4 linked regions of the Saccharomyces cerevisiae S288C genome follow. The gene in region 1 interacts genetically with each later gene. Each region holds a gene or a part of one and is shown in the gene's direction. Other genes may lie near its edges.

The links.
Region 2: mutations in SHM2 (region 1) and PET122 together harm fitness more than expected from each alone (negative genetic interaction), as found in Saccharomyces cerevisiae (2 studies listed by BioGRID).
Region 3: mutations in SHM2 (region 1) and MIS1 impair growth when combined (synthetic growth defect), as found in Saccharomyces cerevisiae (one study listed by BioGRID).
Region 4: of SHM2 (region 1) and FAU1, a mutation in one rescues a mutant of the other (synthetic rescue), as found in Saccharomyces cerevisiae (one study listed by BioGRID).

The regions. Positions count from the first base shown.
Region 1 is NC_001144.5:255,689-263,877, reverse strand, and holds SHM2 (glycine hydroxymethyltransferase SHM2), read left to right. Parts: upstream 1-4,476; coding exon 4,477-5,886; downstream 5,887-8,189. Other genes in the region: 60S ribosomal protein eL22 RPL22A, read right to left, coding at 1-283, 673-684; FRS1 (phenylalanine--tRNA ligase subunit beta), read right to left, coding at 1,112-2,899; REX2 (Rex2p), read left to right, coding at 3,331-4,140; putative mannosidase MNL2, read right to left, coding at 6,023-8,189. UniProt on the Saccharomyces cerevisiae protein: Interconversion of serine and glycine.
Region 2 is NC_001137.3:470,346-477,931, reverse strand, and holds PET122 (Pet122p), read left to right. Parts: upstream 1-3,126; coding exon 3,127-3,891; downstream 3,892-7,586. Other genes in the region: GTPase-activating protein BEM2, read left to right, coding at 1-1,587; membrane insertase OXA1, read right to left, coding at 1,704-2,912; YER152C (2-aminoadipate transaminase), read left to right, coding at 3,944-5,275; mRNA-binding ubiquitin-specific protease UBP3, read left to right, coding at 5,508-7,586. UniProt on the Saccharomyces cerevisiae protein: Required for expression of the mitochondrial gene for cytochrome c oxidase subunit 3 (COX3). PET122 seems to work by directly interacting with the small ribosomal subunit to promote translation initiation on the COX3 mRNA.
Region 3 is NC_001134.8:407,459-417,133, forward strand, and holds MIS1 (trifunctional formate-tetrahydrofolate ligase/methenyltetrahydrofolate cyclohydrolase/methylenetetrahydrofolate dehydrogenase MIS1), read left to right. Parts: upstream 1-3,595; coding exon 3,596-6,523; downstream 6,524-9,675. Other genes in the region: TEC1 (Tec1p), read left to right, coding at 1,711-3,171; 60S ribosomal protein eL19 RPL19A, read right to left, coding at 6,728-7,295, 7,802-7,803; ADP/ATP carrier protein AAC3, read left to right, coding at 8,525-9,448. UniProt on the Saccharomyces cerevisiae protein: Mitochondrial isozyme of C-1-tetrahydrofolate synthase.
Region 4 is NC_001137.3:551,137-558,847, reverse strand, and holds FAU1 (5-formyltetrahydrofolate cyclo-ligase), read left to right. Parts: upstream 1-4,878; coding exon 4,879-5,514; downstream 5,515-7,711. Other genes in the region: TOG1 (Tog1p), read left to right, coding at 168-2,552; FMP10 (Fmp10p), read right to left, coding at 5,589-6,323; YER181C (uncharacterized protein), read left to right, coding at 7,052-7,375. UniProt on the Saccharomyces cerevisiae protein: Only enzyme known to utilize 5-formyltetrahydrofolate (folinic acid) as substrate. Contributes to tetrahydrofolate metabolism in an alternative way of folate biosynthesis.

The DNA.
Region 1 (8,189 bases):
TGGTAGAGACAAATCTGATCCAGTCTCTCAATTGGTTCTTCTTCAAGTACTTCTTTGTCAAGTACTTCAAGTACTTACCAGAGAACTTGGCAGTGGAAACAACAGTAACAACGGTACCATCTTCAGTGACAGTGACAGCGTTACCCAAGTTACCGACAGCACCTTCGACCTTGATGTGGTCGATCAAGTACTTAGCGTAGGAAGCTGGGTCGAAGACACCGTTTTCAGTTGGAGAAGAGACATCGACGGTAAAGGTCTTGGCAATCTTTTGCTTTCTGGAAGTCTATATCAAAAAAATTAAAGATTGAAAATTAGTAAAAATTTTCAGAACAGTAATGTTAGTAAAAAACGAATATTTCACGATTTTCTTTCAATCCCGAAACCACAAAGTTGCCTACTGCTATTAACAATCACATATGACAATCTCAAACAAAAAAACATTCAGAAACGGATAAAAAGAAGGGAGTCGATATAGAGTTCAATGTTCAAGTAGTGAATTTTTAAAATACAGAAAAGCAACTAAACACATAGACGCTTCTTCGTTTCGTACATTTTTATTTTTTTTTTTTTGGTTTTACTATCTTCCTTGTTATTCGCGTACAATCAATCATTACAATAACAGTAAAACATAGACTTCGTAATCGGGCGTGGATTCCTTTTAAAGTATCATACGTTTGGGGCCATTGTTTCTTAATCTGTTGTTTTGGTGGTTTATAATTTGATAACGGTAAAGTACAGGTAAAGTTGTTAATCTCAATTAATAATGTACATATTGTATGCAGCTAAATGATAGTTTGAAACATTTTAGGAAATTCTCGGTAAGATTTGTTCGCGTGGCCTGTTGAGGATTTTTTCAAAAGAGAAGCGCACTGAGGTGGAAAGGAAAAACAAATTAACATAAATGTATGGATGTATTATTAAATGTACTGATGTTTATCAAAAAAACTGTCTTTGAAAGTTAAGTACAAGCTAAACATTTACTCAGTAGCGGTAGTAATATTATATAAAACATGGTAAACTTTAGTTGTGTTTCTATATATAGATATATATATGTGTCTATCTATCTATATAAGTTTTATAAATCAGTAAAAATTTTTGTTAGAACATTACATTATAGGAAGACTTCGGCATTAACCTCTACAAAGGATGCAGCGAATGGAACGTCGAAATTCATCATGACTTCAGGATGCAAGACACCCAAGTGGCCGATTTGCTTTGGCTCAGCGCCTTCTTTGGATCTGAACATGACCTTGGCACCTCTACCTGGGAAGTAGGTTTTCACAGAATCGTCTTCTTCAATCCAGTAACCTCTGCCAGAAGCAGCAGCACCGTAGTCTGCAATCCACTCTGTTCTAAAAGTTTGCATGATTTTACCCAATAACCCTTGAATGATTTCAAACCCAGAATTCTTACCCACGTAGATGGCAGCCCAGTGACGTTCATTGTACGCCTTCCTTTCTAGTTTGTCGTCTTTAAATACAACGTCACCGGTTTCAAAGACTTTGATTGGCAAGGAATGTTTTCTGTTTTCCTTGACTGTCTTTAAGATACCAGGCAATAAAGTGGTTCTAACAACTTGGTATTCCAAAGTCTTTGGGTTGGCCAATTTGACAGCTAAATCACCATTGTCGGATTGTCTTAGAAATTTAAAGTTTTCATCGTGCGAACATAAGGTCAATGGTAAAACCTCAACCCACGTGGCTTGAGAGGATGCAACTCTGAAAATATCAGAAACCTTGTTGATTGGTAATGGTTTGGCAATGAAGTTGGCATTGGATAATTTCTCACCCTTTGGCAAATTATTGAAACCATAACCGACAGCGGCATCTTCCATTATATCACAAGCGTGCAAAATATCAGGTCTAGTTACCGGAATGTCAACGTGCAAGATGTCCTTGTCTTCCTTTGATTGAACGGCATGCAACGACATCTTCTTTAGACAATGAGCAATTTCATCAGCGGATTGATCTAGGCCAAGACAGGAGTTGATGTACTTAATGGAGACATCCATAATTCTATCGTTGAAGTTTGGCGCCAAACGGGATTGGCCATTGTGTTCAGAGACAATTTCTACAGGCTCAACCGTGAATGGTTCGTCACAATAACGTGAGAACATTGTAGTTAATATGTTCAAAACGATCTCGGCTTTGGTCTTATCGGTGGCGGTTATATCAATCAAAATGTTACGGGTGTTCACAGAGATCTTCGAATGTTCACTATTGATTAATGGTGGCAGGGAGCAAACACGATCTTTGCTGTCCATAATAACTGGGAAGACTGGAGAATCCTCAATAATGTGAACGTATCTCCCTATGTTGTTTTTCTGTTCTGGAGATTTATAAAACTCGATCAATTTGTCACCAGTAAACTCTTGGGTTTGATTCAATGGTACGAACTTGATGTCCTTTGGTGGTAGAGCTCTGTAATGGAATGGACCTTCAATTGAATCTAAATCGTGAGTACCCATGGCAACCAAGCTTCTGTTTCTACATAGATTGGCATGTAATTTATCTTGCAAGGCAATAAAAGAAGCGTAAGATTTTTCGTTAAGCTTGATATTTCTCAATACAGCAGCGGTAGCAAAAGGTCTAATTTGCTCCGTTGATTTGTCGATGATCAACTTAGTGGTTGGCTTGCTTAATTTATAGTCAGGTCTTTCTTTACGTTCCAAGTATTCGTTCAGCGACTGTGAAATACCTTCGATACAAAGCAAATCGTAACGATTGGCACTGATATCAAGCTTCAATTCCGGCTCCTCCCCGGTTTTCAAGGCCTCCTCTGTGGTGTCTTCGTCCATTTCCATACCGAATTCAAAACATAATTCATCGAACTCTTGGGAAGTGTAGTTTTTGCCTAGAAGATCAAATAATTGCTGCTTGTTCACGGAGACGGTAGGCATGCTGGCTCGGTGTTATTGATGTGTGTTATGCTATTCTGCCCTATTTTTTGAACATTTGATCAACTCCAGGCTTTCGAGAAATACATTGAAAATTTTTCATTTCCTTCAATTTTCTTTCTTTTTTGGTACCGATTCTGAATAATCGGTCACCTCGTGTGTCGTGATAAATAATCAAGAAGATGTACTTTTATACAAGGGTTGTAGTCATCTGGGACACTCTCAGAGCACTGGCTCTGACGACAACCATCAAACGCATGCTCATACGTATAATTCAAGCCTTACATACACTGGTATTCCCTTTGGGGTGTTTCTTTTTCCTGTCAAGTTGGGCACTTAAAAGAACTAATAAAAAATCAGTGTGAACTTTTCGATTTGCAAAGAAAATGAAAAAAAAGAAAAGGAGCTTTCACAAATAAACAGAAGAGATCAAGATGAAGTGGTTGTTGTTTCCGGCAAGAATCGTAGCTCGCACTCGCCCAAACCTCTTCTCGCTGTACAGAAGATCCGTTTCACAGTACTTACGTCCTCGAACCATCCAAAACCTGCAATCAATGGCGCAAACACCCGAACTTAAAACCAAGCTGTTCAAACCCTTGGTCTGGATCGACTGCGAGATGACCGGTTTAGACCACGTGAATGACAGAATTATCGAGATTTGCTGCATCATCACCGATGGACACCTGGCACCCGTCAAAGCGGCCGATGGCCAAGGAGACTCGCATTATGAGAGCGTCATCCATTATGGTCCCGAGGTGATGAACAAAATGAACGAGTGGTGTATTGAGCACCACGGTAATAGCGGTCTCACCGCCAAAGTTTTGGCAAGTGAGAAGACTTTGGCCCAGGTAGAAGATGAGCTGCTCGAGTACATCCAGCGCTACATCCCAGACAAGAACGTTGGCGTCTTGGCAGGCAATAGTGTACATATGGACCGCTTGTTCATGGTCCGCGAGTTTCCCAAGGTCATTGATCATCTCTTTTACAGAATAGTTGACGTCAGTAGCATCATGGAAGTTGCCCGCAGACACAATCCCGCTTTACAAGCACGTAATCCAAAAAAAGAAGCTGCCCACACTGCTTATAGTGATATCAAAGAGAGCATAGCTCAATTGCAATGGTACATGGACAACTACTTGAAGCCACCACAGGAAACAGAGTCGGTCGAGTCAATCGGATCTGAACAGCCGGAGTCACCATCTTCATCTACCTCATCTTTGAAAAGACAACGCACCGATTTTTAATGTAGAAAAAAAAAAAGAAAAAAGAAGTGAAATTTTTCAAATATTTCACACACGAAACATGACTCCTGGTGAGAAATGACCCTTTCAGGTTGCTTTGACCATAAAGGTTTGACTCTATCTCTTGGGTTTCTCATGTTCGCTTTTTACTCTGTATAATTTTTAAATTCATAATCATCTTAGACCGAACCATGAGTCTTCTTCATCTTGTTTTATATATAATGCAGAACTTGCTTCCCTTAGTTTGCGTTCAGTAATCTTTCCTTCTTCTAGTGTAACCTTTACGAAAGATACTACCCCATAGCAAAGCATAACAGCTTAAACCGAATCCTCCTTAACATGCCTTACACTCTATCCGACGCTCATCATAAGTTGATCACCTCTCATTTGGTGGACACCGACCCTGAAGTGGACTCCATTATCAAGGATGAAATTGAAAGACAAAAGCACTCCATCGATTTGATTGCTTCTGAAAATTTCACCTCAACCTCCGTTTTCGATGCCCTTGGAACTCCATTGTCCAACAAATACTCTGAAGGTTATCCAGGTGCTCGTTACTACGGTGGTAATGAACACATTGACAGAATGGAAATTCTATGTCAACAAAGAGCTTTGAAAGCTTTCCATGTTACTCCAGACAAATGGGGTGTTAACGTCCAAACTTTATCTGGTTCTCCTGCTAACTTGCAGGTTTATCAAGCTATTATGAAGCCTCATGAAAGATTGATGGGTCTATACCTACCAGATGGTGGTCATTTGTCTCACGGTTACGCTACTGAAAACAGAAAAATTTCTGCTGTTTCCACATACTTCGAATCTTTCCCATACAGAGTTAACCCAGAAACCGGTATTATCGACTACGATACTTTAGAAAAGAACGCCATCCTATATAGACCAAAGGTTCTTGTTGCTGGTACTTCAGCATACTGTCGTTTAATTGACTACAAGAGAATGAGAGAAATCGCCGACAAATGTGGTGCTTACTTGATGGTAGACATGGCCCACATTTCTGGTTTGATCGCCGCAGGTGTCATCCCATCTCCTTTCGAATACGCTGATATCGTTACCACCACCACTCACAAGTCTTTGAGAGGTCCACGTGGTGCTATGATTTTCTTCAGAAGAGGTGTGAGATCTATCAACCCTAAGACCGGTAAGGAAGTTCTATACGACTTGGAAAACCCAATTAACTTCTCTGTTTTCCCAGGTCACCAAGGTGGTCCACACAACCATACCATTGCTGCTTTGGCCACTGCTTTGAAGCAAGCTGCCACTCCAGAATTCAAGGAATACCAAACTCAAGTCTTGAAGAATGCTAAGGCTTTGGAAAGTGAATTTAAGAACTTGGGCTACAGATTAGTTTCCAACGGTACCGATTCTCACATGGTTCTAGTATCCTTGAGAGAAAAGGGTGTTGATGGTGCTCGTGTTGAATACATTTGTGAAAAGATTAACATTGCTTTGAACAAAAACTCTATTCCAGGTGACAAATCTGCTTTGGTTCCAGGTGGTGTCCGTATTGGGGCTCCAGCCATGACCACTAGAGGAATGGGTGAAGAAGATTTCCACAGAATTGTTCAATACATTAACAAGGCTGTAGAATTCGCTCAACAAGTTCAACAAAGCTTGCCAAAGGATGCTTGTAGATTAAAGGACTTCAAAGCCAAGGTCGACGAAGGCTCTGATGTTTTGAACACCTGGAAAAAGGAAATTTACGACTGGGCTGGCGAATACCCATTGGCTGTGTAAAGAAATCACCACAACGACACTTAATCCCAAAAAAATAAACATTACTGTATAAGTATTCATTTTCTCCTCTTCTCATTATGTATATATGTACCTATATGTATGTATGTATGTGCGTACGATTTTTCTAACGTTAACTTCATTTCTTTTTGATTATGTGCCCTCCTTGAGTTAAGATGTGTTTGTCCAGGGAAACCTTGTCACCATCGCTGAATAGTAGCAAATAGTATTTTAATGTTCTGGAGAACCAATAGCTAGGTAAATCATTGTTCACTTTTTCACCGTTTTCATAAAATTCCTTTATTTGCCACAATCCTTTGGCACCACTGTTTAGTTCCATTAATTCTTGCATTAAGATTCCAAAAGACTGCTTACCCATGCTTCTCCATTTTTGTTCTCCACTGATTCTGTACATATAAAATATAGATTCAATGATATTCGAATCCAACAATCTTCTGGATTCTACCTTGTTGACCCAAAATGGCCAGTCTGGATGGTTTTTCCACTGAGAACCCATGGTATCGTCCGTTGTAATATGCGGTTTGATATCCTTACCAAGCGTAAAAACTCTACGTATTTGCGTTACTTCGTCGCCGTCTATTTCAGCAATCGATTTCGAGCTTCCAACAGTATCACCTTTTATGTTTTGAGTCTCTGTTATCCCATCTTTGCTTAGTACATTTCTCTTAGCTTTCTGGTCATTCCCACCTTTCCCATAATTCGAAACTTTGATCCCGACATCTAGGTCATTTTCAAAAGTTTCATATTCGCCGTTGGCAATCATTCGTGATTTAGTTTCGCCGTTAAACTCGCAATTCCCATTAGTCTCATCAGTGCAAGGGTCCAACTCGAATTTTTGAGGGAGCAGCCCGTCGAACTCCTCCATTAGCATAAAACAACTTTCTGTTATTATTTCGCTCATTTCCAATAGTGACGATGGTAAAATATATTTCGTGTTGACACCGCCTCGGTGGGGAACACGTGAACTTAAACCTAGAATGCCGCCAAGTCTGCATGAGTATAACGAGACATCGTAAGATTTTCTTATCGTGACATCTAGCTCATTAGTCGTGGGCATGAATTGAGATTTTGTTAGAATGGAATTCAGAAAATTAAACTTTTTGTTTTCCGTTTGCTTGGGCAACATGGGTCGAAAAGTCATGAATTTAAAAATGTTACTGATGGAATTTGTTAAAAACGTTTGCGAGTCTATTAATGATTTATCACCTACGGTGTTTTTTGTCGAATCTTTTTTAGTACCGTCTTTAAAGTTTCTTTTCTCAATTATTTCGTCGACTGCTTCTACCTCTGAACCAATACTGGGGTCCATCGTTGCAGCATTAGCATTTTTACTTGAGCCGTCCAGGATATCATAAGAAGATTGGAAGAGGTCATTGATTTTGAATAGATTTTCTAGAATGGGTACTGTTTTTTCATTAATTCTATAAGCCTGGTATTGAGATTGTTCTTGGAGGCTATTATCATCTATTGGAGGATTTAAGAATTTCCCTAACTGCTGACAGTGTACGAACTTGAAATTTTCATTGATACTTTTCATGATGCTGGATCCCTTTAGGTGTGCACCATTCTCAATTTCCTCTTGAGTTAATAACTGGCAACCAGAGGCATCAACGACGTCAGGCAGCATAAACTCCATATCAAATTCGTTATATGATTGACGTATAGTGGTGAAAACTCTTTCAACAGCATCAAAATACTTATTCAAACGGGTTAACTGTGACAATCTGATAAACGCGAGTGCCATAGTAGTCAATTGACCTGATGGAACAGTACGGTCTGGAAATCGATTTCTCAGATCAGATTTCCAAAAATATTTCAAAATAGGAATTCTATTAGGGGTATCAAATGATCTTAATATGAAATCTGCAACATGTTTTGCTTTGTTAAGTAATCGTTTATCCATAGATAATTCGTATGCAGACAGTAACCCTTCTAGGACACGGGTAGTGATGTCAGGAATATCAATAACTTCCATTGCTAACGGAGGTACTCGAAAGTCAAAATCTTCTATTATATTAACAGAATCTTGAAAAAGTTTCGTCTCGCCACATAGATACAATGTATCTAGAGAATCAATTAGATCTATGGGCCAAGTAGATTCCCTTCTGAGGTTACTTTTCAGCAGCAACTGCTCTTGGTTCCATGATTTCATGAAAATGTCCTTTATCTGTTTTATCATATCAACATCTGGTGGCAATTGCATTGCCGGCTGTATCTTATGAACGTCATTCTGGCTTATAGAAGTTAAGGAAGGTGATGAGTATTCGAACAAGACGGGATACTTT
Region 2 (7,586 bases), on another chromosome or scaffold:
TCGAAACTTATTAATTTTGACAAAAGGAGATTTGTTAACAACATAATATCTAATGTCTTGGATTTAATTCCGAACGAAAGGGAGTTTCCACTTGATATTGAAATGAGTGACGAAAATCCTTCGAAAAGAACTACATTTGGCCGCATTCTGTTCAATAATTTTGAAGATGTTAATAAAGTATACAGAAAGAAGACTAAAAAAGTATCAGAATCAGAAGCCATATCGGAGAGATTTCAAGAGCAGGGAGTATTTAATGAAATACTAGTCAATGAAATTGAAAAAATAAAGAGGGAAGCCAGAAAATTAGAGGTTTTACTCGATCAAGAAAAGATCTTGAAGAACTCTGCTGCTTTACATCAGGCCGTTCCGAAAAAGAATAGGAAGTCTGTTATTATCTCAGGTACTCATAGTGACAACGATCATAGCTATAATATCAATAAGAACACCGGTCAAACGCCTTCTCTAGGTAGTGTTATGGAAAGCAATAATTCAGCAAGGAATAGAAGAGATTCAAGGGCCTCCTTTTCCACAAATAGATCATCAGTAGTGTCAAATTCCAGCCATAATGGTGTTAGTAAAAAAATAGGTGGATTTTTCAGAAGACCATTTTCAATCGGTGGATTCAACACATCCAGTTCTAATTATTCACTCAACAGTATATTATCGCAAGAAGTTTCAAGTAACAAATCCATTCTACCAAGTATACTTCCAGAGGTTGATTCCATGCAACTACACGACTTAAAACCTAGTTATAGTTTGAAGACCTTTGAAATCAAGTCAATAATGGAAATAATCAATCACAGAAACATTCCGGCTTACTACTATGCGTTCAAGATAGTTATGCAAAATGGCCATGAATATCTGATTCAAACGGCTAGTTCTAGTGACCTCACAGAATGGATAAAAATGATCAAGGCTTCCAAGAGATTTTCATTCCATTCGAAAAAATATAAAGGTAAAACTCATAATAAGATATTTGGGGTACCATTAGAAGACGTTTGTGAAAGAGAGAATACCTTGATACCTACAATTGTTGTGAAATTGCTGGAAGAGATTGAGCTGCGTGGGCTAGATGAAGTGGGATTGTACAGAATTCCTGGTTCCATCGGCAGTATAAATGCACTAAAGAACGCATTTGACGAAGAAGGTGCAACAGATAATTCCTTTACATTAGAGGACGATAGATGGTTTGAAGTGAATGCGATCGCAGGCTGTTTTAAGATGTATTTAAGAGAGTTACCAGATTCTTTATTTTCTCATGCTATGGTGAACGACTTTACCGATTTGGCGATTAAGTATAAAGCACATGCAATGGTAAATGAAGAATACAAGAGAATGATGAATGAGTTACTCCAAAAGTTACCTACATGCTATTACCAAACTTTGAAAAGAATTGTATTTCATTTGAATAAAGTACATCAGCATGTTGTAAATAATAAAATGGACGCATCAAACTTGGCTATTGTATTTTCCATGAGTTTTATAAACCAAGAAGACTTAGCCAACAGCATGGGGTCCAGATTAGGTGCAGTTCAGACAATCCTGCAAGATTTTATTAAGAATCCAAATGATTATTTCAAGCAATAAACAATTTTCGTGGTAAATGTATACAATCCACTGCTGAGAGAGAAAAAATTTGGTCCCGCCTATCGAGGGTTTGAGTTTTATATTTTTATATTTACAGAGAGATATAGAGCCTTTATTCATTTTTTGTTATTAATGAAGTTTGATTTGTGAACAATTTTGATTTTGGAATTCTGCCTCTTCTCCTTGAAGCTTTCTTGTAACTTCTTCTCATTATCTTGCATCAATTGCCTTCTTTCCGCCTGATCTCTTGCCTTTTGAATGTTATGTTTTAATGATTGGAAGATGCCCATGTTCTCTGTGGGGGAAGCGCCAGCGATAGGAGTCCTTGGTTTAGCTACTTCTGTTATCTTCAGTTTCGAACGAACCCATTTGTTTCTCAAAATCATTGTCTGTAGGACGGAGAAGGCACCATTAAAGGCAAAGTAGAGGACCACAGCGGACGATAAGTTCATTGTGGCCGGTATAGAAATGATCGGTAGAATAGTGAAAAGACGCTTCATGGGAGAACTGAATTGTTGAGCACCAGTCTCACCCCCCAGCCTTGTAAATGAGATGAACACAGCGGCAGTGATTACTTGCAAACCTAAGTAAGGGTCTGCTTGAGTCAAGTCTGTAAACCAAGCGACACCTTGATTAGCGAACCCATCTACTGGGTAGTTAGCCATGTGTCTCAATGCGTTGAAAAACCCAAGGGCGATTGGAATTTGTAGCATGGGTGCGGCCAGCCATCTGTTCTTAATGCCGTGCGAGGAGAGCAGTTTTTTCCTTTGCATGGCGACTAGCTGACCTTGTTGCAAATCTGTAGTGGACATTAGCTTATTATTCAAGGCGTCCAGCTCGGGCTTGATATGGGAATTTCTAGCAACAGTATCAGAGGACTTGACATAGAGGGGAAACATCAGGCATCGAATGAGGATGGTGGTGGCCGCGATAGTTCCCCACCAAGGCAACCCAGAGTAAACATGAACGGCCTCCAAGACGTGTTGGATAATGTCCGAGGGCCAGTACCAGGTTTGGGCCAGGCCAATGCTATTTAAGTACCCTATATGGGAGGACAACTCGCCCACTGTTTGGGTCGTGTTAGCGATAAGGTCCGAAGTAGAAGCGGAAAGAGAAGGAGCTGAAGAGGTTAATTCATCGATGGAAGGCAACTGGGTTTGGATTTCCGAGACATCGTTGGCATTTGGGCCCGTCGAATTAAATCTTTTGGCCTGAAAAGAGATCCATGACGGATGGGGCCGGGGCAATACTATGGTTCGAGCGGTGGCCAGTCTGGAAGAGGCAGCAAACCTTGACGTGACGAGTCGAGAGGTGAGTTTGAACATCGTCGGGGAGGTTATTCTGTGGCTCCGCTTGTACGTGAACAGATACGTATAGAGGGCGAGCCACTGGTTAAATTTTTCATGGCTCGGATTACTTCCGTACTGCTGGCTAAAATCGAAATCTCGGCCTGCTGAGAGTGTTTTGAGCAATCAAGGGAACATCTGAACGTGGAAGAGCAGACGAGGCATTAGCTCGAACATAAGAACGGAACACGTCATGTTGACTATCACGAAAAGACTGGTGACCACCGATGTGCGGTCGCGAATACTGTTAAGCAGTTTAAACGGGAAAATGTCCGATGCACTGGCGCTGCTGCGTCAGCAGCAGCAGACCAGCGTGGATGTGGAGCTGCTGCACACGATGCTAGCGCGAGCCGCTGCGCTTGCCCATGCCGACACTATAGCATACATGTGGTATCAGCATGTGATGCCACGCCGGTTGCCAGTAGAGGGCCGCCTGCTATGTGAAATGGCTGGCGTAGCATTGTACCAGGACAGGCTCTTCTTACCCGCGCAGTTCCTCCAGCACTACCAGGCGATGAATCGCGATCGTCGCACCAGCCCAGAAGATGAACTGATTGAGTATGAGCTTAGACGGATTAAAGTCGAAGCGTTTGCGCGTGGCACAATGCACTCCACGGCGCTCAGGGAAAAGTGGAAGGTATTCTTGCAGGAGATGGATACGCTACCAGGGCAGCCGCCATTAAGGCTGCGCGACTTCCCGCAAATGACCAAGGCTATGGGCATAGCATTGATGCAGCAAGATGAGCAAGCAGCTGCCCTGGCGTTGTTTGGACGACAGCCCCTAGTGATAAAGAACGAATGGTCACTACCGCTACTACTGGCTGGTGTCCTTTGGCATGTTCCCGGCCCAGCGCAGGCGCGACGTGTGCTGGCGGAGTTCCGTCAAAGTTATCGCGGGCTGCCGCTGCTGGATGCCGAACTAGTGATAAAGAGAAGAGGATTTGAAATCAACACATAAATCTGGGTGGAGCATCGCTGTAACAAGGAACAACGCGTGCTAGCAAGCGGTAATGAAATACAAGGAAATCAATTTCTTCAAGGGCCATCCGAGCTCGAGGTTGCTGCCTCGAGAAGCAGTAATTCAAGCGACTGCGGCTATATTGGGGCCCGAGACCAGGGAGTACGATAACGACCCCTATAACAGGCATCCGCTGACGTACGGTTCGGACGAAGGTGCCCTGTGGGTGCGAGAGCAGATTTGTACGTTTCTGAATGATCAGCTGTTTAAGTTCGAAAATGGGGCTCGGAGCAGGACACGGGCAGACTATTTGAATCTGAATAGCGGCGCTTCGTATGGCATGCTGAACATCCTTCTGCAAACAACCTTGCCACATAACGGGTATACCAGGCAGGCGTTCATCATCACGCCAACATATTTCTTGATCAACAATTGCTTCACAGATGCGGGATTCAAGGGGAAAATGACCGCCATCAACGAGCAGGGCCACGACTCGATTGATTTCGAGTCGTTGATTTCTGCCCTTGAGCAGCACGAGGCGGAGCCGCAGCCCCATAGTACCACAGAGATGATTCAGGGGCCAAAGTTGACCAAGAAGGTCTACAGGTACGTTATGTACTGCATCCCGACGTTTGCAAACCCATCGGGAAACACATACTCGCTTGAGACCAGACGCAGACTTATCGACATCGCTCGGAAGTACGACATGCTGATAATCACTGATGACGTGTACGATATTCTAGATTACACGACGCCCTCAGATGAGCTGCCCTCTCCGCCCCTAAGGATGGTGCACATAGACAGAAGTACAGCGCCCTCCGGTGAGGACTCGTTCGGGAATACAGTGTCCAACGCAACTTTCTCCAAGCTGATCGCCCCTGGGCTCAGATTTGGATACCATGAGTCAATCAACGCGAATCTCGCCAGACAGCTATCTAAAGGTGGTGCAAACGTCTCTGGCGGAACTCCCTCACAACTGAACTCCATGATCGTGGGTGAGATGCTGCGTAGTGGTGCCGCCCAGAGATGCATTGCACATCTGAGATCCGTATACTCCGAGAGGGCCACTGTCTTGACCTCGGCGCTTAAGAAATACATGCCCCTAGGAACCGAGATTATGCCATTGAAGGGCGGCTATTTTACTTGGATCACTCTCCCACCAGCGTACAATGCCATGGAGATATCCACTATTCTTGCCAAGAAATTTAATGTCATCCTTGCCGACGGCTCCAATTTCGAGGTCATCGGCGATGAGAAAAACTGGGGTCAGTCATGCTTTAGGCTTTCTATTAGTTTCTTAGAAGTTGATGATATCGACAGGGGCATTGAGCTGTTTGGTGCTGTTTGCAAATCTCATGCGATCACCAATAACATAACTATGTAGAAGGAATACGTATATAGGTGAACGGTAATAAGAGGGTAATTTTTCTACGGGCAAAGGCAAGGAAGAAAAAGAAAAAGAAGGAAAAAAATATAATGTGATAAAACAAACAAGCAGCGAAAAAGCGAAAGGGAAGAGAAGTGTTTCTAGAGAAGAAAGTCATTTTAATAGTAAGTCAGACTCGTCTGCTACCATCATCCAGGTACCGCTTTCCTTTCCATCATCATTAAAAAAAATGAACATGCAAGACGCTAACAAAGAAGAGTCGTACTCGATGTACCCGAAAACCTCTTCTCCACCACCACCTACGCCAACCAATATGCAGATTCCTATTTATCAAGCGCCTTTGCAGATGTACGGCTACACTCAGGCCCCATATCTATACCCCACACAAATACCTGCCTATTCGTTTAATATGGTCAACCAAAACCAGCCAATCTACCATCAAAGTGGCAGCCCACATCACTTGCCTCCGCAAAACAATATTAACGGCGGAAGCACTACCAATAACAACAACATTAACAAGAAGAAGTGGCACTCTAATGGCATTACCAATAACAATGGAAGCAGCGGTAATCAAGGCGCCAACTCTAGCGGTAGCGGCATGAGCTACAACAAATCCCACACCTACCATCACAATTACTCTAACAATCATATCCCCATGATGGCCTCTCCAAACAGTGGCAGCAATGCGGGCATGAAAAAACAGACCAACTCTTCCAACGGCAACGGTTCTTCGGCTACTTCACCATCGTACTCTTCCTACAACTCTTCTTCACAGTATGATTTATACAAGTTTGATGTCACTAAATTAAAGAATCTCAAGGAAAATTCATCAAACTTGATTCAATTGCCACTGTTCATAAACACTACGGAAGCAGAATTTGCTGCGGCAAGTGTCCAAAGGTACGAATTAAACATGAAGGCTTTGAACCTAAACTCTGAAAGCTTAGAGAACTCATCTGTAGAAAAGAGCTCTGCCCATCATCACACAAAAAGCCATAGTATACCAAAGCATAATGAGGAAGTAAAGACAGAAACACATGGGGAAGAAGAAGATGCTCATGATAAAAAACCACATGCGAGCAAAGATGCGCACGAGCTTAAAAAGAAAACTGAAGTAAAGAAAGAGGATGCTAAGCAAGACCGTAACGAAAAAGTTATACAGGAACCTCAAGCTACTGTTTTACCTGTAGTGGATAAGAAGGAACCAGAGGAATCTGTTGAAGAAAATACTTCCAAGACATCTTCACCTTCACCATCTCCTCCAGCAGCAAAATCCTGGTCCGCCATAGCATCAGATGCGATTAAAAGTAGACAAGCTAGTAACAAAACAGTCTCCGGATCGATGGTCACTAAAACACCAATTTCTGGTACGACCGCAGGCGTTTCATCAACAAACATGGCTGCGGCGACTATAGGTAAATCCAGCTCTCCCCTGTTGTCCAAGCAGCCTCAGAAAAAGGATAAAAAATACGTTCCACCTTCTACAAAGGGTATTGAGCCACTGGGTTCGATTGCGTTAAGAATGTGTTTTGATCCCGATTTCATTAGTTACGTTTTACGGAATAAAGATGTTGAAAACAAAATACCAGTCCATTCCATTATTCCAAGAGGCATAATTAACAGAGCCAACATTTGTTTTATGAGTTCTGTGTTACAAGTGTTACTCTACTGTAAGCCATTTATTGATGTAATTAACGTTCTCAGTACACGGAATACCAATTCAAGAGTCGGCACATCATCCTGTAAATTATTAGATGCTTGTTTGACTATGTATAAGCAATTCGATAAGGAAACCTATGAGAAAAAATTCCTAGAGAATGCTGATGATGCTGAAAAAACCACGGAAAGTGATGCAAAAAAATCATCAAAATCCAAGAGTTTCCAACACTGCGCCACTGCCGATGCTGTCAAACCTGACGAATTTTACAAAACTTTGTCTACTATACCGAAGTTCAAAGACTTGCAATGGGGCCATCAGGAAGACGCAGAAGAATTTTTGACCCACTTATTGGACCAATTACACGAGGAATTAATTTCTGCAATTGATGGCTTAACCGATAATGAAATTCAAAATATGCTGCAAAGTATTAATGATGAACAATTGAAAGTTTTCTTTATTAGAAATTTGTCACGTTATGGAAAAGCAGAGTTTATCAAAAATGCTAGTCCTAGACTGAAGGAGTTGATAGAAAAATATGGCGTGATCAATGATGACTCTACCGAAGAAAATGGTTGGCATGAAGTGAGCGGATCTAGCAAAAGAGGCAAGAAAACTAAGACCGCTGCCAAGAGGACTGTCGAGATTGTT
Region 3 (9,675 bases), on another chromosome or scaffold:
CATTTGATCCTCGCTTCGAGAAAAACTATAACAATTGATTAGTGCGGAGAGGAGGATAGGCGGTAAGATCAGTTTTGTTTATTGTATAAATGAGATACTTTGGAATAAGGACATTAGCCTTATGTTACATCATTTCTTATCACGTAAGACTACTTATTGTCAAACTTTTTATGAAGTCATAAGGTGGACATATGAATAGTGCAGTTACCCTTGTTCAGGAATGACACCTTGTGCATTCCAGTGAGAAAGGAATGTTGACTAAAACAGTAGCTGTGCTTTTTTTTTTCTTTTTTGCCTTTTTATTCTTAATGTTCAAGAAAACTTTCTTTCCATGGAATGTATGAGGACCCTTTATTTTGAGGAATGGGTTCGAATTTATCATGCAAATTGGCAAGAATTTACTAAGTGGACTATATTTAAAGAGTTGAATTTTACGGTGAAAGTAAATTAACGCTACTTCTGTTGTTTTGGAAAAGCCAAGTTCAAGTTTCTTTTCTTGATTATTTATTCTCGTAACGATTTCGCTTTTCCTCTCTATATATTTTCCTACTCCATTCTGTAAAGAGCTTCCAGAACAAAATATAAATAAATAAAAAAAACTTCTCTTCAGGCAAGAGTACGTTCTTCGCTGGTTTCCTACAGAATCAAAAGAGTACTGCAGCTTATTGTACACACTTACAATATTCAAAACATGTGTGGCCTACTCGGTTCCTGGCAAGGTTAAGCCAAGTGGTGTAGTTACCAGAAAAAAGTGAACACATACAAGATACGATGCGTAAGTACATAAGGTATGACAGCCTGTAACAAATCCACGTTAGATTTATATCTTCTAGGCTGAGAATCTGGCAGGTTTTAGCAAAACATATATAACTTGCTCTCATTAAGCGGGCTCACTGCTTAAGCGATTGTTACCTGGAACTACAGGCAAGTACAATAGCCTCCTCCAGCTTTTGACTCTGAAAAAAAGGTAACGAAAGAAACTTTTCACACAGATAGGAACTATTCTAATATTACAGTAAAGCCAGCTATGGAATAACAGGTGGCATGTGCCCACTGTATTCATGTATGAGCGGCCTTTTTTTTCCACGAAAACAGATATGATGATGTTTTAGGCCAAAATGGTGAGATCCTTTTACAGGAAGATTTTACGCCAACTCTTTCCATTTAGTGACACAGGTGAGGGTCTTTTATCGGCGCAAGGTGTTTCAGATGAGCCATTTTGCCCGTAGTCCGGTTTAATCAGCCTCATTGGAATTCCCCGGCACCGCTCGCATTCCGCGTACGACTCAAAGAATTTCCCATTGAATTCGGGAATGTGCGTGTTTCAGATTGCGTTTGCTTATTATTCTGGGAAACTCTCCGGAAACAAGCTGAGCTGGACTCCACGAATGGTCCCTCACAAGGCTCTTGGCTCATGCACAGTTAAAAAGCACCTGTAGCTACCATCAGCAATCCATGGTGCTGGAGTTTCTCTCGATGGTACGGCCCATAGCTGGAGAAAATAGCTTATTACCAAAAAAGTAATTCCCCCGCAGAGGTATATATTAAGTTTGAAACAAAAGGCTTGCTTAATTTTTTACATATGACAACCCTTTTCTTACTTTTATAAATGTTTATGAAACAGGAGATTCTTCGACTGGTGCCAGATTCCTCCCATATCGACAAGAAGAATAATCCACCTATTTCAACAATTCTGATACCTGTTTAACCATGAGTCTTAAAGAAGACGACTTTGGCAAGGATAATTCTAGAAATATAGAATCATATACTGGTAGAATTTTTGACGTATATATACAAAAAGATTCGTATTCACAGTCGGCCTTGGATGATATGTTTCCAGAAGCCGTAGTTTCAACCGCCGCTTGTGTGAAAAATGAAGCGGAGGATAACATCAATCTCATAGACACGCATCCTCAATTCGAACTGGTAAATACTGGACTGGGTGCTAAATCGGACGATTTGAAATCTCCATCAGCAAAGGCTACGTTCACTGACAAGCAGAGGAAGAATGAAGTACCAAATATATCTGTGAGCAACTACTTTCCCGGACAAAGTAGCGAAACGTCGTCAACAACGGAATCTTGGACTATCGGTTGTGATAAGTGGTCAGAAAAGGTAGAAGAGGCATTCCTTGAGGCACTTAGACTGATAATGAAAAATGGGACCACAAAAATAAAAATAAGAAATGCCAATTTTGGAAGAAACGAGCTGATTTCATTATATATCAAGCACAAAACCAACGAGTTCAGAACCAAAAAGCAAATTTCTTCCCATATTCAAGTCTGGAAGAAGACCATACAAAACAAAATCAAGGACTCGCTGACCCTATCATCAAAGGAGAAGGAGCTTCTACACCTTATCGAACATGGCGCTGAACAAACTACTGAAAACTCAAACCTGTTTTATGACATATTTGAAGAAATTATCGACTCTCTACCTTCAGTCAGTGATTCTGGAAGTTTAACCCCTAAAAACCTCTATGTAAGTAATAATAGCAGTGGATTGTCAGTACATTCAAAACTGCTTACGCCAATCACTGCTTCCAACGAGAAAAAAATTGAAAATTTCATAAAAACTAATGCTGCATCTCAAGCCAAAACCCCCCTCATTTACGCTAAGCACATTTATGAAAACATAGACGGCTACAAGTGCGTTCCGTCAAAGAGGCCTCTTGAACAACTTTCCCCCACGGAACTCCACCAGGGAGATCGCCCCAATAAGGCTAGCTTTTCCAACAAGAAGGCAATCCTGGAGAGTGCAAAAAAAATCGAAATAGAGCAGAGAAAGATAATCAACAAATACCAAAGAATTTCCCGCATACAAGAACATGAAAGTAATCCTGAGTTCAGTTCCAATTCCAATTCCGGTTCAGAGTACGAATCGGAGGAAGAAGTAGTCCCAAGATCAGCCACAGTCACACAACTCCAAAGCAGACCAGTGCCATACTACAAGAATAATGGAATGCCCTACTCACTCTCCAAAGTACGAGGAAGGCCCATGTATCCAAGACCTGCTGAAGATGCTTACAATGCCAATTATATTCAAGGTCTGCCCCAGTACCAAACATCTTATTTTTCGCAGCTGTTATTATCATCACCCCAGCATTACGAACATTCTCCACATCAAAGGAACTTTACGCCATCCAACCAATCGCATGGGAACTTTTATTAAATGTCTACATACATACATACATCTCGTACATAAATACGCATACGTATCTTCGTAGTAAGAACCGTCACAGATATGATTGAGCACGGTACAATTATGTATTAGTCAAACATTACCAGTTCTCGAACAAAACCAAAGCTACTCCTGCAACACTCTTCTATCGCACATGTATGGTTCTTATTGTTTCCCGAGTTCTTTTTTACTGACGCGCCAGAACGAGTAAGAAAGTTCTCTAGCGCCATGCTGAAATTTTTTTCACTTCAACGGACAGCGATTTTTTTTCTTTTTCCTCCGAAATAATGTTGCAGCGGTTCTCGATGCCTCAAGAATTGCAGAAGTAAACCAGCCAATACACATCAAAAAACAACTTTCATTACTGTGATTCTCTCAGTCTGTTCATTTGTCAGATATTTAAGGCTAAAAGGAAATGTTGTCGAGACTATCTTTATTGAGTAACTCGAGGGCGTTCCAACAGGCCAGATGGCGCATTTACCGCTTAAAAGTTTCGCCAACTGTGCATGCTTCTCAATACCATATTCTTTCTGGTAGGAAACTTGCTCAATCTATTCGAGAAAAAGCCAATGATGAGATACAAGCCATTAAGCTTAAGCATCCTAATTTCAAGCCTACCTTGAAAATCATTCAAGTCGGGGCCAGACCAGACTCATCTACGTACGTGAGGATGAAATTGAAAGCTTCAAAGGACAGCAATGTAGACTGTATCATAGAGAAGTTACCAGCAGAAATCACTGAAGTTGAGCTTTTGAAGAAAATTAGTGACATCAATGATGATGACTCTATCCATGGGTTGCTAATTCAACTACCTCTACCGCGTCACTTGGATGAAACCACGATTACAAACGCTGTGGACTTTAAAAAGGACGTTGATGGGTTCCACAGATATAATGCTGGTGAATTGGCTAAAAAAGGAGGGAAACCATACTTCATACCATGTACTCCTTATGGTTGCATGAAATTACTTGAAGAAGCTCATGTTAAGTTAGATGGTAAGAACGCCGTCGTGTTAGGCAGATCAAGTATCGTCGGAAATCCAATTGCTTCGTTGTTGAAAAATGCGAATGCCACTGTTACTGTCTGTCATAGTCATACAAGGAACATTGCAGAAGTGGTCTCCCAAGCTGATATAGTTATCGCAGCTTGCGGTATTCCTCAATACGTTAAATCAGACTGGATTAAAGAAGGCGCCGTGGTTATTGATGTAGGTATCAACTACGTACCTGATATCAGTAAGAAAAGTGGGCAAAAATTAGTTGGTGATGTTGATTTTGATTCTGTAAAGGAAAAGACATCTTATATTACCCCTGTTCCTGGTGGAGTGGGTCCAATGACTGTCGCTATGCTTGTTTCCAATGTACTATTAGCTGCTAAAAGGCAATTCGTGGAATCTGAAAAGCTTCCAGTTATCAAACCTCTTCCATTACACTTAGAAAGTCCAGTGCCTTCAGATATTGATATATCAAGAGCTCAGAGTCCTAAGCATATCAAGCAAGTTGCCGAGGAGTTGGGAATCCACTCTCACGAATTAGAATTATACGGCCACTATAAGGCAAAAATTTCTCCAAATATTTTTAAAAGATTAGAATCTAGAGAAAACGGTAAGTACGTCCTTGTTGCAGGTATTACTCCGACTCCATTGGGTGAAGGTAAATCCACTACGACTATGGGGTTGGTGCAGGCTTTATCCGCTCATTTAGGGAAACCATCCATCGCGAACGTTAGACAACCATCTCTTGGCCCAACCCTGGGTGTCAAAGGTGGTGCTGCTGGTGGTGGTTATGCCCAAGTTATTCCTATGGACGAGTTCAATTTACATTTGACCGGGGATATTCATGCTATCAGCGCTGCGAACAATCTTCTTGCAGCAGCTATCGACACTAGAATGTTCCATGAAGCCACTCAGAAGAATGATAGTACATTTTACAAGAGACTAGTTCCAAGAAAAAAAGGCATCAGAAAGTTTACCCCATCCATGCAGAGAAGGCTTAAAAGATTGGATATTGAAAAAGAAGACCCTGATGCTTTAACACCTGAAGAAGTCAAAAGATTTGCTAGATTGAACATAAATCCCGATACTATCACTATCAGAAGAGTTGTCGACATCAATGACAGGATGTTAAGACAAATTACCATTGGCGAAGCCGCTACGGAGAAGGGTTTTACAAGGACCACTGGATTCGATATCACTGTTGCCTCTGAATTAATGGCCATTTTAGCTCTATCTAAAAGCTTACACGAGATGAAGGAACGTATTGGACGCATGGTTATTGGTGCTGATTATGATAACAAACCAGTAACAGTAGAAGATATTGGCTGTACCGGTGCTCTGACTGCATTATTACGTGACGCTATAAAGCCTAACTTAATGCAAACTTTGGAAGGGACCCCCGTAATGGTTCACGCTGGTCCTTTCGCCAACATCTCCATCGGCGCATCATCAGTAATTGCAGACTTAATGGCATTGAAGCTTGTTGGTTCAGAAAAGAACCCGTTAAATGACAAGAACATCCATGAACCTGGTTATGTAGTTACTGAAGCAGGATTCGATTTTGCCATGGGTGGTGAAAGATTCTTTGATATCAAATGTCGTTCCTCTGGATTGGTGCCAGATGCAGTTGTCTTAGTCGCAACCGTAAGAGCTTTGAAATCTCATGGAGGTGCTCCAAATGTTAAGCCCGGACAATCATTACCAAAAGAATACACAGAGGAAAACATCGATTTTGTTGCCAAGGGTGTTAGTAATTTGGTTAAGCAGATTGAAAACATCAAAACGTTTGGAATACCAGTCGTTGTAGCAATCAACAGATTTGAAACAGACTCACAGGCAGAGATTGAGGTAATCAAGAAAGCAGCCTTGAATGCTGGCGCATCTCATGCCGTTACTTCTAATCACTGGATGGAAGGTGGTAAAGGTGCAGTAGAATTAGCACATGCTGTGGTAGATGCAACGAAAGAACCAAAGAACTTTAACTTTTTGTACGACGTCAATAGCTCCATCGAGGACAAGCTTACCAGCATCGTCCAAAAAATGTATGGTGGGGCAAAAATCGAAGTATCACCAGAAGCCCAAAAAAAGATAGACACCTACAAAAAACAAGGCTTCGGTAATCTTCCCATCTGTATTGCTAAGACACAATATTCATTATCCCATGATCCATCATTAAAGGGTGTTCCTAGAGGTTTTACGTTCCCCATCAGGGATGTGAGAGCTTCAATAGGTGCAGGTTATTTATACGCTTTGGCTGCAGAAATTCAAACCATACCGGGTCTATCGACATATGCTGGTTACATGGCAGTAGAAGTCGACGACGACGGTGAAATTGAAGGTCTATTTTAAATAGTTTGGCAGACTCCTAATGGCATCAATTCGACCTCGATGTCCGTCTGCACGAGTACCCTTTATATAAACAATTGAGATGAGAATATTAGAAAAATGGGTTTTAGTTATGTAGGTATATGTGCATACATACGTATTATCGAAGTTTTTGCTACCTGTTTATTAACTGAGTATGTATATTAAGATAAATTAATTAAAGAAAATTTAAGCGTCTTCCTTCAATAAAGCATCTCTCTTTTCAGCAACTCTTTGAGCTCTTCTGTCACGAGCAGCTCTGTTCTTCAATCTTCTAGCTTCAGCTTCTTCGTTCAAAGCCTTTTCACGTTGAGCATCAGCCTTAGCTTGGATGATGTGTTCAACCAAGGCTCTCTTGTGTTTGAAAGCGTTACCCTTAGATTCCTTGTACAAAACATGGTACAAGTGCTTGTCAATCTTACCAGCATCACGGTACTTAGCCAATAATCTTCTCAAGACACGTAATCTTCTGATCCAGACAACTTGGGATGGTAAACGGGCTTCTCTGGTACCCTTTCTCTTACCGTAACCACTGTGACGACCTTCTCTCTTAGATTGAGCATGGGCTCTGGTTCTGGATTTAGAGTGGACGGTAACGGCCTTCTTTACGATGGTACCGTTCTTAACCAATTTTCTAATGGCGTTTCTGGAGTTGGCTTGAGCAATTTCAGAGGTTTCATTTGGATCTAACCAAACCTTTCTCTTACCGACACCGACGACAGAAGCGGCAAGTCTCTTTTGAGTACGTAAATTAGCCCTGTTAAAGTCATGTTAGTTATTATCGTTCTGTAAGAAGGAAAAAGTCTATTCGCGTCGAAAGATAGAAATTGCGGTGGTAGACACTTTAAAACTCGCTATAGAAAAATGACATGGTTATTATGTATGCTGGATACTGCAGCAGCTCGAGTAACTTTTATCACGTAACTGGTTCTCGTATTGAATACTCATATTAATGGTCTCACTTATCGCTATAAATATCTTAATGGTAAACTGCACAGAAAAAAAATTCTTCCACAAGTTTCCTCTTTTGCCTTTTAGTGCTAAAACTCCGATTATAGAAACATCTGGCTTCACTAGCATATTCATGATGCAAATGGAACACAGTATCGTTCTTGGCATATATTACCCATATCACTTTTCAATAACGCTGGTGTTTCAGGTGATAACTCATCAAACTCGCATTCCTCAAGAGGGAGTTATTATAACAATTCTATCTTATTCCTGATAAACTTTCATAGATTCATTATTCACTGCATCACATACATTTTTGCTTTGGAGTTCTTAATCAACTTTCTATGTGAAGCGTAAAATCAATAGTTACCTTGTATTCTCTGTTGATCACTGTCCAAACCTATATTTTTGTTTCCCCCTCAGAGAAGTTAGGTCGATGCCTATCGTAGTTTGCAAGGAAGACGGCTTCCAACTGAGACCGCCCTAGTCTGGCAGGATTCGTGAAAGGAGTCCATGCCAGCTGCTACCCAGGGATTGCCACGGCCCCGGCCAGCGTATAGTACACTGTCAGGAGCAATTCGAAGAGGCAACCAAAATTATGCTAAGCATCGCACTCTCTCTCAGTCTGGTGCTAAGCGGAAGACATGCTTCCAATGGCCTCCTCACCGAGAACGGATATTAAACGAAACGAAGAAAAAAAATCTTCACGGAAAATGCGTAATGTCTGGATGACAAAATGCATGGGTGTAAAAAAGGAAATGAGACGAACTTGTAATAAACCTTAGTGGGTTGACGAATTTTGAAATAAAGTTTTTCCTTTTTTTTTTTTTTTTTCTTTTTCATTGTTTGGTTGCCTTCAAATTACATATAAGATTTCTCGAGAAGGGTTTTCCATTGTCCTTTTCATTAGGCGTTGAAGTGAATCTAAAGTGCGCTTGAATGATTTCAGATAGAAAGACTAAAGAAGTGGTGTGAGTATAATTAACTCAATTGAAGACGGTTTACCTGAAGTGATATACTGTGCCTTGAGAAACAATGAGTAGCGACGCTAAGCAACAAGAAACAAACTTTGCCATTAATTTCTTAATGGGTGGTGTGAGTGCGGCCATCGCTAAAACTGCTGCCTCACCAATCGAAAGAGTCAAGATCTTGATCCAAAATCAAGATGAAATGATCAAGCAAGGAACTTTAGATAAAAAGTATTCCGGTATCGTGGATTGTTTCAAGAGAACTGCAAAGCAAGAGGGACTAATATCCTTTTGGCGAGGAAATACTGCCAATGTTATTCGTTATTTTCCCACTCAAGCTTTGAACTTCGCCTTCAAAGATAAGATTAAGTTGATGTTTGGTTTCAAGAAAGAGGAAGGCTATGGTAAATGGTTTGCAGGTAATCTGGCTTCTGGTGGTGCAGCTGGTGCTCTTTCGTTATTATTTGTTTATTCTTTAGATTTTGCCAGAACCAGACTTGCTGCTGATGCAAAATCGTCGAAAAAGGGTGGCGCTCGCCAATTCAATGGGTTGACTGATGTTTATAAAAAGACCTTGAAATCGGATGGTATCGCAGGATTATACAGAGGATTCATGCCATCAGTAGTGGGTATCGTGGTTTATAGAGGACTATATTTCGGTATGTTTGATTCTCTCAAGCCACTGGTGCTAACTGGTTCATTAGATGGTTCATTCTTGGCTTCATTTTTATTGGGATGGGTGGTCACTACAGGTGCCTCAACATGTTCTTATCCATTAGACACAGTGAGAAGAAGAATGATGATGACTTCAGGTCAAGCAGTAAAGTACAACGGTGCTATAGATTGTCTCAAAAAAATCGTAGCTTCTGAAGGTGTAGGGTCATTGTTCAAAGGCTGCGGGGCAAATATCTTGAGAAGTGTTGCTGGAGCTGGTGTTATTTCCATGTATGACCAGTTGCAAATGATATTGTTCGGTAAAAAATTCAAATGATCAGTTGGATGAAGAAAAAAGTCATTTTCTCGACTTCTCTTCACCTTTCGATCGATTTGATTTTGGCCGCCAACTTGTTTATAGAAAAAAAATAGTAGGAAGGTTATGTATCGCTTTCTTTTATTTTTTATTATAGAGTATAACTGAATAAATTTGTAAATCAGCCACTGTTGTTCGATTGCTTTTTGGGGAAGTGAACTTGAGACCTTTAACTTTCGGCTTTCAGA
Region 4 (7,711 bases), on another chromosome or scaffold:
TTGAAAGGCTGGGTAATAATTTTTTTGATGTGTGCTTTGAACAGTAAAAACTTTCTTCCTTTCTATAAGCTAGAAGCAAATCCAAATCTCATCGAATAAGCGCATTAGGTTAACGACATTATTGTTGTTTAAATTTTAAGCTTTTTAGCTTTTTATATTTTATTGAGATGGCAGCAAAAAGAGGATTAGCCAAACAAAAATCTAGGGTAACCAAGGCCTGTGATAGATGCCATAGGAAAAAGATTAAGTGCAACAGTAAGAAGCCATGTTTTGGGTGTATTGGGTCTCAATCAAAATGTACGTATAGAAATCAATTTCGTGAACCGATTGAGGCTTTTTTCAATTATACTGGTAGTCTCAGTAATGATTTGGATAATGCTAAGTGCAGCATAGCAAAATTGAAGGCACAGTTACCTCCAAGCGCACCGGCCTCTTTACAGAAAGGCCTAGCAAACATTTGCACTGAGCTTGAAAAAATACAACCTCAGCTTTACCTCAATCTGGACAGTAAGGAAATTAGCTCGTATGGTGGCCTGAAATCGATAGAAACAGAAATTATCGGGAAACAGTCAAAATCTTTGAATAGGTTCTCCAACGCTTTTGAAAGCAATACTGCACAAAATGTCAGTATGTACTTTGGGGTCTATTCACCGTTGCTATATTTTGCCTCTACGGGTATTAGCTGGATAACTAAAAAATTGATTTCATGTTCGAATGATAGGGAGACGAGAGAAACTATCTATTTATTTTTGAAGTTTCTTGACGCTAGCTCTGCTAGCCATGCTGGTCCTAAAGTAACTTCGATATCTCCTTTAGAGTATTATTCAAAGCTAAACGGACTTTCATGTGGGAACGACGTACTTATTCAACACATTATGTCAAATATATCGAATGAAATCAAAGGAAATACAAACATTAACCAAACAATCAAATTCAATAAACCAACAGACTGGTTTATGTACGGAGTACAATTGATGGAACAGCACCACAAGGCGTTGGATCGTAAAAGTTCCAAAAAATTACTTCCTTTGAAATATTTTCTTGAGCAAGATGAGTTGATTTTTTGTCTCTGTCTTGAATATTTTGAAAGATCCCTATTTTCGACAATGTACGACTTGACTATTTTAAAGGGCTTAGTCTCGTTGATGAAACACAGATATTGGATAGACGATCCTTTTGTGCTGGGAAGAATTATTTCCACGATGTCCAGGCGAAGTTTGGATGCTGGTTTGAATCGTTGGGAATATTATATTGGTCAGGATGAGGACACTGCCGAAGAATATCGTAAGTTATGGTGGGACTGCTACTGGTGGGATAGATGGTATTCATTGGTCACCGGTAAGCAGCCATTGATACCACATGAAATGACTTCGTGTCTCTTTCCCAAGGATGTGGTTGGATTAGGGGTAGATGATTCGATGGACTGTTTTACTTTAATAAACTTGGTGGAGCTCGACCCAAGTAAGTTTGATATTTGTATCTCTTTCGGCTATATTCTATTAACGAAAATTATTACAGCGGTATTCTCTGGTTTGCTTTATAATCGACACTTTACAGACTACAGATTATTTGCAACTCCTAACGCTAAAGACCTAAATGGAACCGCACGACAGCTTATGGTAGAGTTTTCAAAAATATGTAAAATTTTTCAGTGCATACAAGACAAACTAATCCCTTTCCTCAAACAATATTCTGAAAATAGTAATGTATTTGAACTATACACCCATTTCGGATTTGCAAAGGTTTGTTGTTTTCAGGGAATGGAGAGTTTAATTTTAAGGATACAAAATCTTCTACAAGAAAGAGAGAGAATTGAACTTGATTCCTGCGTAAAGGACATCAGGCTTCAAACCTTTGAAGCATCTGTAGATATTTTGACGGATGTTCTCAAGCACGAAGATACGTTCTATATTTTCCGTTGTTCGTGGTTCATATATGCCATCTTGATGAATATTACCTTGAATTTTATCGAGACCCCTAGAAGGAACTCGATATGTTATTTATCCTTGATGTGCCGCATGATAGCCTCATATAATGACTTATTTGTGAGCTCTGGCAATGTTAATTTCAAGGGCAACAACGCCTTCTCTAAAAAGTTGGAAAATGGAACAGCGGTTTCTTTCATCCTAACACGCATCTGCTGTCAGATGTACACACGTTCACAGAAAATGGCTAAGGAATCGCTGTTTTGTGAATTGAAAAAATATGGCCAGGCTTGCTCAGATGCTGGTCAAGCTGCGTTGGACATTGAATGTATCTGGTACAGGAATATTATAGGCGAACACAAAGAATCAAGCTTCCGTAAAGAAATTCTCAGCATTCTTGATAGGGAAATGGGTGATTTGGTGAATAATAGAGTTATTGGCGTACAGGGAAAAAATCAAGAAGGTGCTTGTTATGAGAAGTTGTCACCCAGCAGCACCAGTGTTTCAGTTGGCATGGACTTTTGTAGCCTCGAAAATTTTGTGACTGCAGAATCTCTACCAGACCTTCTCAATCTATTTTGGGAGGACACTGAATTTGGTATTACTAAAGAAAACCTCGGAGAGTAAAAACCAAGTATGCACCTAAACAATTGATCACTTTCAATTAGGAAATAAAATCCCTTGATTTAGACGAATACTGTAGAATGCAATAAAAGGTTTTGTGATTCTAATCTAGTCCCTTACGTTATGCACCGCTTTCAGGAAGGTTATGGGCTGTACCATGAAATCAAAGGTGGCTCATAACTAGTAAGTAAAAGTAAATGTCCTTTTTTTATGCAAGATCTAGAACGATTCGAGTATGGTGTTGATACCACTGTGGTAAGTCTTTCAAGCTACACGCAATTACACACACTCACAAATCTAGTTGTATTTACTCCTTTTATTGTTGCTAGTCTAATTATTCGTCCCACGATTTTATCGTTCTTTGAGTATTTCGGGTCTCAAAAGATTGCTAAATGAAATAACTCTTAAAAATTGCTTCACATAGTCTTGTTGTTACATTCACAATTCACAGCTTTCCGTTGCTCATCGCTTGATAGGAATATATTATGATAGGGATTATCCTGAAAGTTTCAGCAAAACGATAATTACTTCAGCTTTTCTTCGTCTATTTAACCTAGTTTTCCGTCATAAATCCGTTCTCTTAAAAGCACACCTACTCCACTTTCTGAAATAACATAGATATTGAATTTGACTTAGATTCATATATTAGAAAAATCGAATAGTTTCCTGTGCCTAGAAATTCTAAGGTGCCATTCCAGAGGATTTTTATGACAAAGATGAGATGTAAGAATCAACTTTTTTTAATATTTTATATCTTTCATCAAAGAAACATCACAATGTATATTACAAAGTGGAGAAGCATCCAAAATATAGCTGCAGTGAGAATTCATTGAACTGTATCAACTGGGTGGAAAATGTCACAGTCACTTATGGAATTCTATGATTTTATTCAATAGAAAACATTTAGTAAAGCTGGTAACCGACCTTTTTTTTTTACACATTTTTTTTTTTTTTGCTGATTATACCTTGCATTCTAACACCGGGTTCTGATGTTATCACCTACTTTGTATCTCGCATCATTCTTTATTTGGTAGACACGTCCCAAAATGGAGGATGCGCACTAACGAAAATGAAGGATAATGCAGTGAGAATGATAATTTTGATATTGATAGGATCAATTGAAAGCATATCACATGTTTTTTGTGAAATGTTGTATAAGAGATAGCGCTCTTGTTGGGTTTCGATAGGGGGAATGTGGAGTATCTGATGTAACACTGTAGTCTTATTTCTTGTCATAAAGAGGGACTGATTGGGGTGAGGCATATTATATTATAGGAAAAATTGCAGAATATCTAGGTAGTAGTCGCTTCAATAAATTTTTTTCCGACACAAGAATAATGAGACAAATCGGACTATATTTGACGATTAAATAAACCCAAAGCACCCCTATGCTATATGGGGGAACTTTAGAGTAAACAAGGTTGAAATACGTCAATTTGTAATTTCATAAAATACGTGAGGTCTTTTTGTGAGAGATACTTGCCCATTTAGATTTTTGTCCATATCGTGATAATTTTTTTGAGTTTTAATTAATGTGCTCCACCATCACAGAGTGTGTACCAGTGCAACCCACTCAGGGATATGCTTTAAGTCATATATTCTCGCTCTATGGGAACCATAAGCTGGACACATTTCTTGAGGTTATTTAGTAGCGAAAAATGGCGCAATGTTACTCTTTCACTTCTATTATATGGGGCTACAATGCCAATAAGGATTAATGGGTAGCGATTGTGGTTTCTTACCTTTGTGTAGTTGCGTAGGCTTTTTAGTGTATCAGTGAGCAAATTTAGTCCAAAAAGATCGCCAGCGAAGACTGTCGTATCTGGATCATTCGTAGTATCGATAGCTTAGCGATATTCTCGAGGATGTAAAGACAGCAGATTGGAGTTCTGATAATTTTTCATTACTTTTCAGTGAGAGAGTGCCTTTCTCGTTTTATATCTCAATCCTACCCGTAGAACTGGTCTGCTATTCTCATTTATCATTTTATTTCAAAAAAACCTTCAGGAGACAAACTGATTCCATCAAAGGCCTGTTTGCTATCTAGGACAATATTCGAGCTTAGTAAGTCACTTCCTGAAAACCATTCTGCTTGCGAGCCCGAAGCTTTGTGGCAATCAGTCTTCCACATCTGTTTGCAAGGGTGTTTTATTTCATGTCGTGAGAGATTTGTGATTAAAGCTGTTTTTATTAATCAGTTAGCAGCTTCATTCTCTTGAAGGATATATATAATTTTCTCAGATTTCTTCCGAATAATATTTAATCATTGAAATGGCAAAAATAAAAATTACTGTCAGCTACGCTATCTTTATATAGCTACAAAAAATTAATGGCCACTAAGCAATTACTGAGACGTCAAATCAAAAGGGTAATAAATGCTCTTGACTACGATATTATCGCTGCAGAGTCGCATACTATTTCTCAAGCAGTACGCTCATTGATCGCTTCCGCCAATTCTAGGCGTGTAGCGTGTTATATGAGCATGGATAAAGGAGAAGTAACGACTGGAGAAATCATTAAGAATTTATTTCAAGATGGCCAGGAGGTCTTTCTGCCAAGATGTACTCATACTTCTGAATCGAAACACTTCAAATTACGGGAAGATCATCATCCACATTTAATATTCCATCGAATGAGTAGTTTGAAAATGGTTCGTGATTTGAAGCCTCAAGGTCCATATCAACTAAAAGAGCCTGAACCGCATATTGAGGAATCAGATATTCTAGATGTCGTATTGGTGCCTGGAGTGGCGTTTGATATTAAAACTGGTGCAAGGATGGGTCACGGTGCTGGGTATTATGACGATTTTTTCCAACGGTATAAGATACTGCATGAAGGCCAAAAGCCCCTCCTAGTTGGACTATGTCTTATGGAACAGGTGGCCTCTCCAATTCCTTTAGAAAAACATGATTATTCCATGGATTGTATAGTATGCGGAGATGGATCCATACATTGGTTTCAATAATTTCATATATGTATTATTTACATGGTACAGCTATTGTATAAATAAATAAATAAATAAATAAGTAGACGGCAAATCTATTTTTCTTCTTTTGGATTCCCTTGTTCGCTAGAAAACGTGGCATTAGCTTTGACCAATGTCCTGTTGCCACTTTGGTCCATAAGTTCAGCCTTTAATTTAGTTTTGTTACCGTATTGCTGAAGATCGGTGGTTCTTACTACAACAAATTGATTAGCTAACGTGGGGAACTTGTACGAGATACTCAAATTCTTGGTTTCTTGGTTTATATTTTTTGTTCCTTTTTCGAGTCTAATGGCCTCCTTCATTAAATCTTCAATAACTGTTGCTAAAATGCCTCCGTGAATTAAGAAAGGATAACCAGTAAGTTTCATTCCTAAATGGTATAGCCCGACAGTTTCACGCCTACTGGGGTTGTAGTAAACTCTTGGTGGTATAGCGACGCCACCTGGTGTATTTAATGCCCTTGACACTAACAAGTTCTCCTCTTCATTAGCAATCACTTGTACAAAACCAGCATTCTCCAACTGTTTTACTATGGGTAGGCCATTTAAACGTCTATTCAGATCAGCGTGATATTTGACGACTTCATCTGCGTTCTTGGGTAGGGCATCATATCTCCAATAAGCTAGTAAGTCCGTGAACGTCATATGCTGTGTCAAGTACCACCCTCCAAGAAAACTTCCCCCAAAAATTGTCCATGGAATCCATCTTCTTTTGGGTTTAGAGGCTGTCTTGAAAACAACGCCATTTGTATACGTTCTTATCTGGGCTATTGCGATTCTTTTAAACATCTTGGCCTTGCTGGTACGGTCTCTTTCTCTTCCTTACTTTTCTTAGTTTCTTTATAAACTCTTTGTGCACTTTGTGAGTTTGTTCCTTTTCTGCCAAGGGGTATGCCTCATCGAAAATTAATCAATCTTTAAATAAGGTATTATGTTAAATAAATGAAATGTAAAATGTGTCGCTAATGGAGTACTTAGAGACATTTTTGGAAATCAGTTTTGTGAAATATTAGAAAGAATTCCTTTTGTTTATTTGCTCAGAGTACAACATCTCAAGACTTTTATTCCTGTTGCAAACCAATGTTCACGTACGGTGACCCAAAATGATGGCAGTCATAATCAAATCTAATGGAAGTTGAAATCAAGAAACGATAATGTAATAGGATTGTAAATTACAACTTACAAAGCAAAAGAAGTAATAATAATATGCTATTTAGAATTGCCGATTCTCTTTTATTGATTCCTGTATCTTTTGAGGAGAACTTCTAGTATATGTCTAATGTCGTTTTACTAGAAATGGGACCCCTGAAAATCGTCAGCAACTTTCAACTGAATCTGAGAATGATGCTCAAGTCGTCATTTTATCTTGCAGAAGCTAAGTGCAGGAGTTGATAATACAGCAGAATTAAAAGTGACAACGCAAGAAACAAAAACAAATGCAATCTCAATATTATGTGAAATTGATGATTTCGTAGCGAATCATGCGCACTGTGGGAGAAGCCTGGGTATAATTATGTATGCTAATACTGTTACGTTTATCTGAGGTTTGTGTGAATTTTGTGATAATTATCGGGATTCCATTGTTGATAGAGGCTTCAATACTATGTATACAGAACATACTAGAACTTCTCCTCAAGGGTATAGGGATCCTCAAATTTAATCGGTATTTGCATACAATAATATTACGATTATTTTTCCTATCGTTTTATATGCTTCATTTTCCCATTACATTATCAATTCTTGCATTTCAGCTTCCATTAAACTTGCTAACTCTTTCTCAAGCTTCATTTCATCTTCCTAGATCTCATATGATACTATACCAGCAGCAAGAATGCTACTAAATGGATGATATTCTAGAGTTTCATTTCATCATCTACACGAAGGGATGGGGGCATCTGAAGTATTTGAAACGTTGCTATGATTTCATAATTTATGCAGGTTTAACACAGATTACAGGTCTCTTGGCCCAGTTGGTTAAGGCACCGTGCTAATAACGCGGGGATCAGCGGTTCGATCCCGCTAGAGACCAATTTTTTTGAAAATCGTAAAAAGGCCCAAAAGGGAGAGCACAGCACGTTCTGCTTAAAAAAATAAAAAATGATGTCTTCAATAAAACATCTTAAGGACCAGTTTGTAGATCTGCGAAGTTGTTGACTAGATAAATTATAATAGCAAAC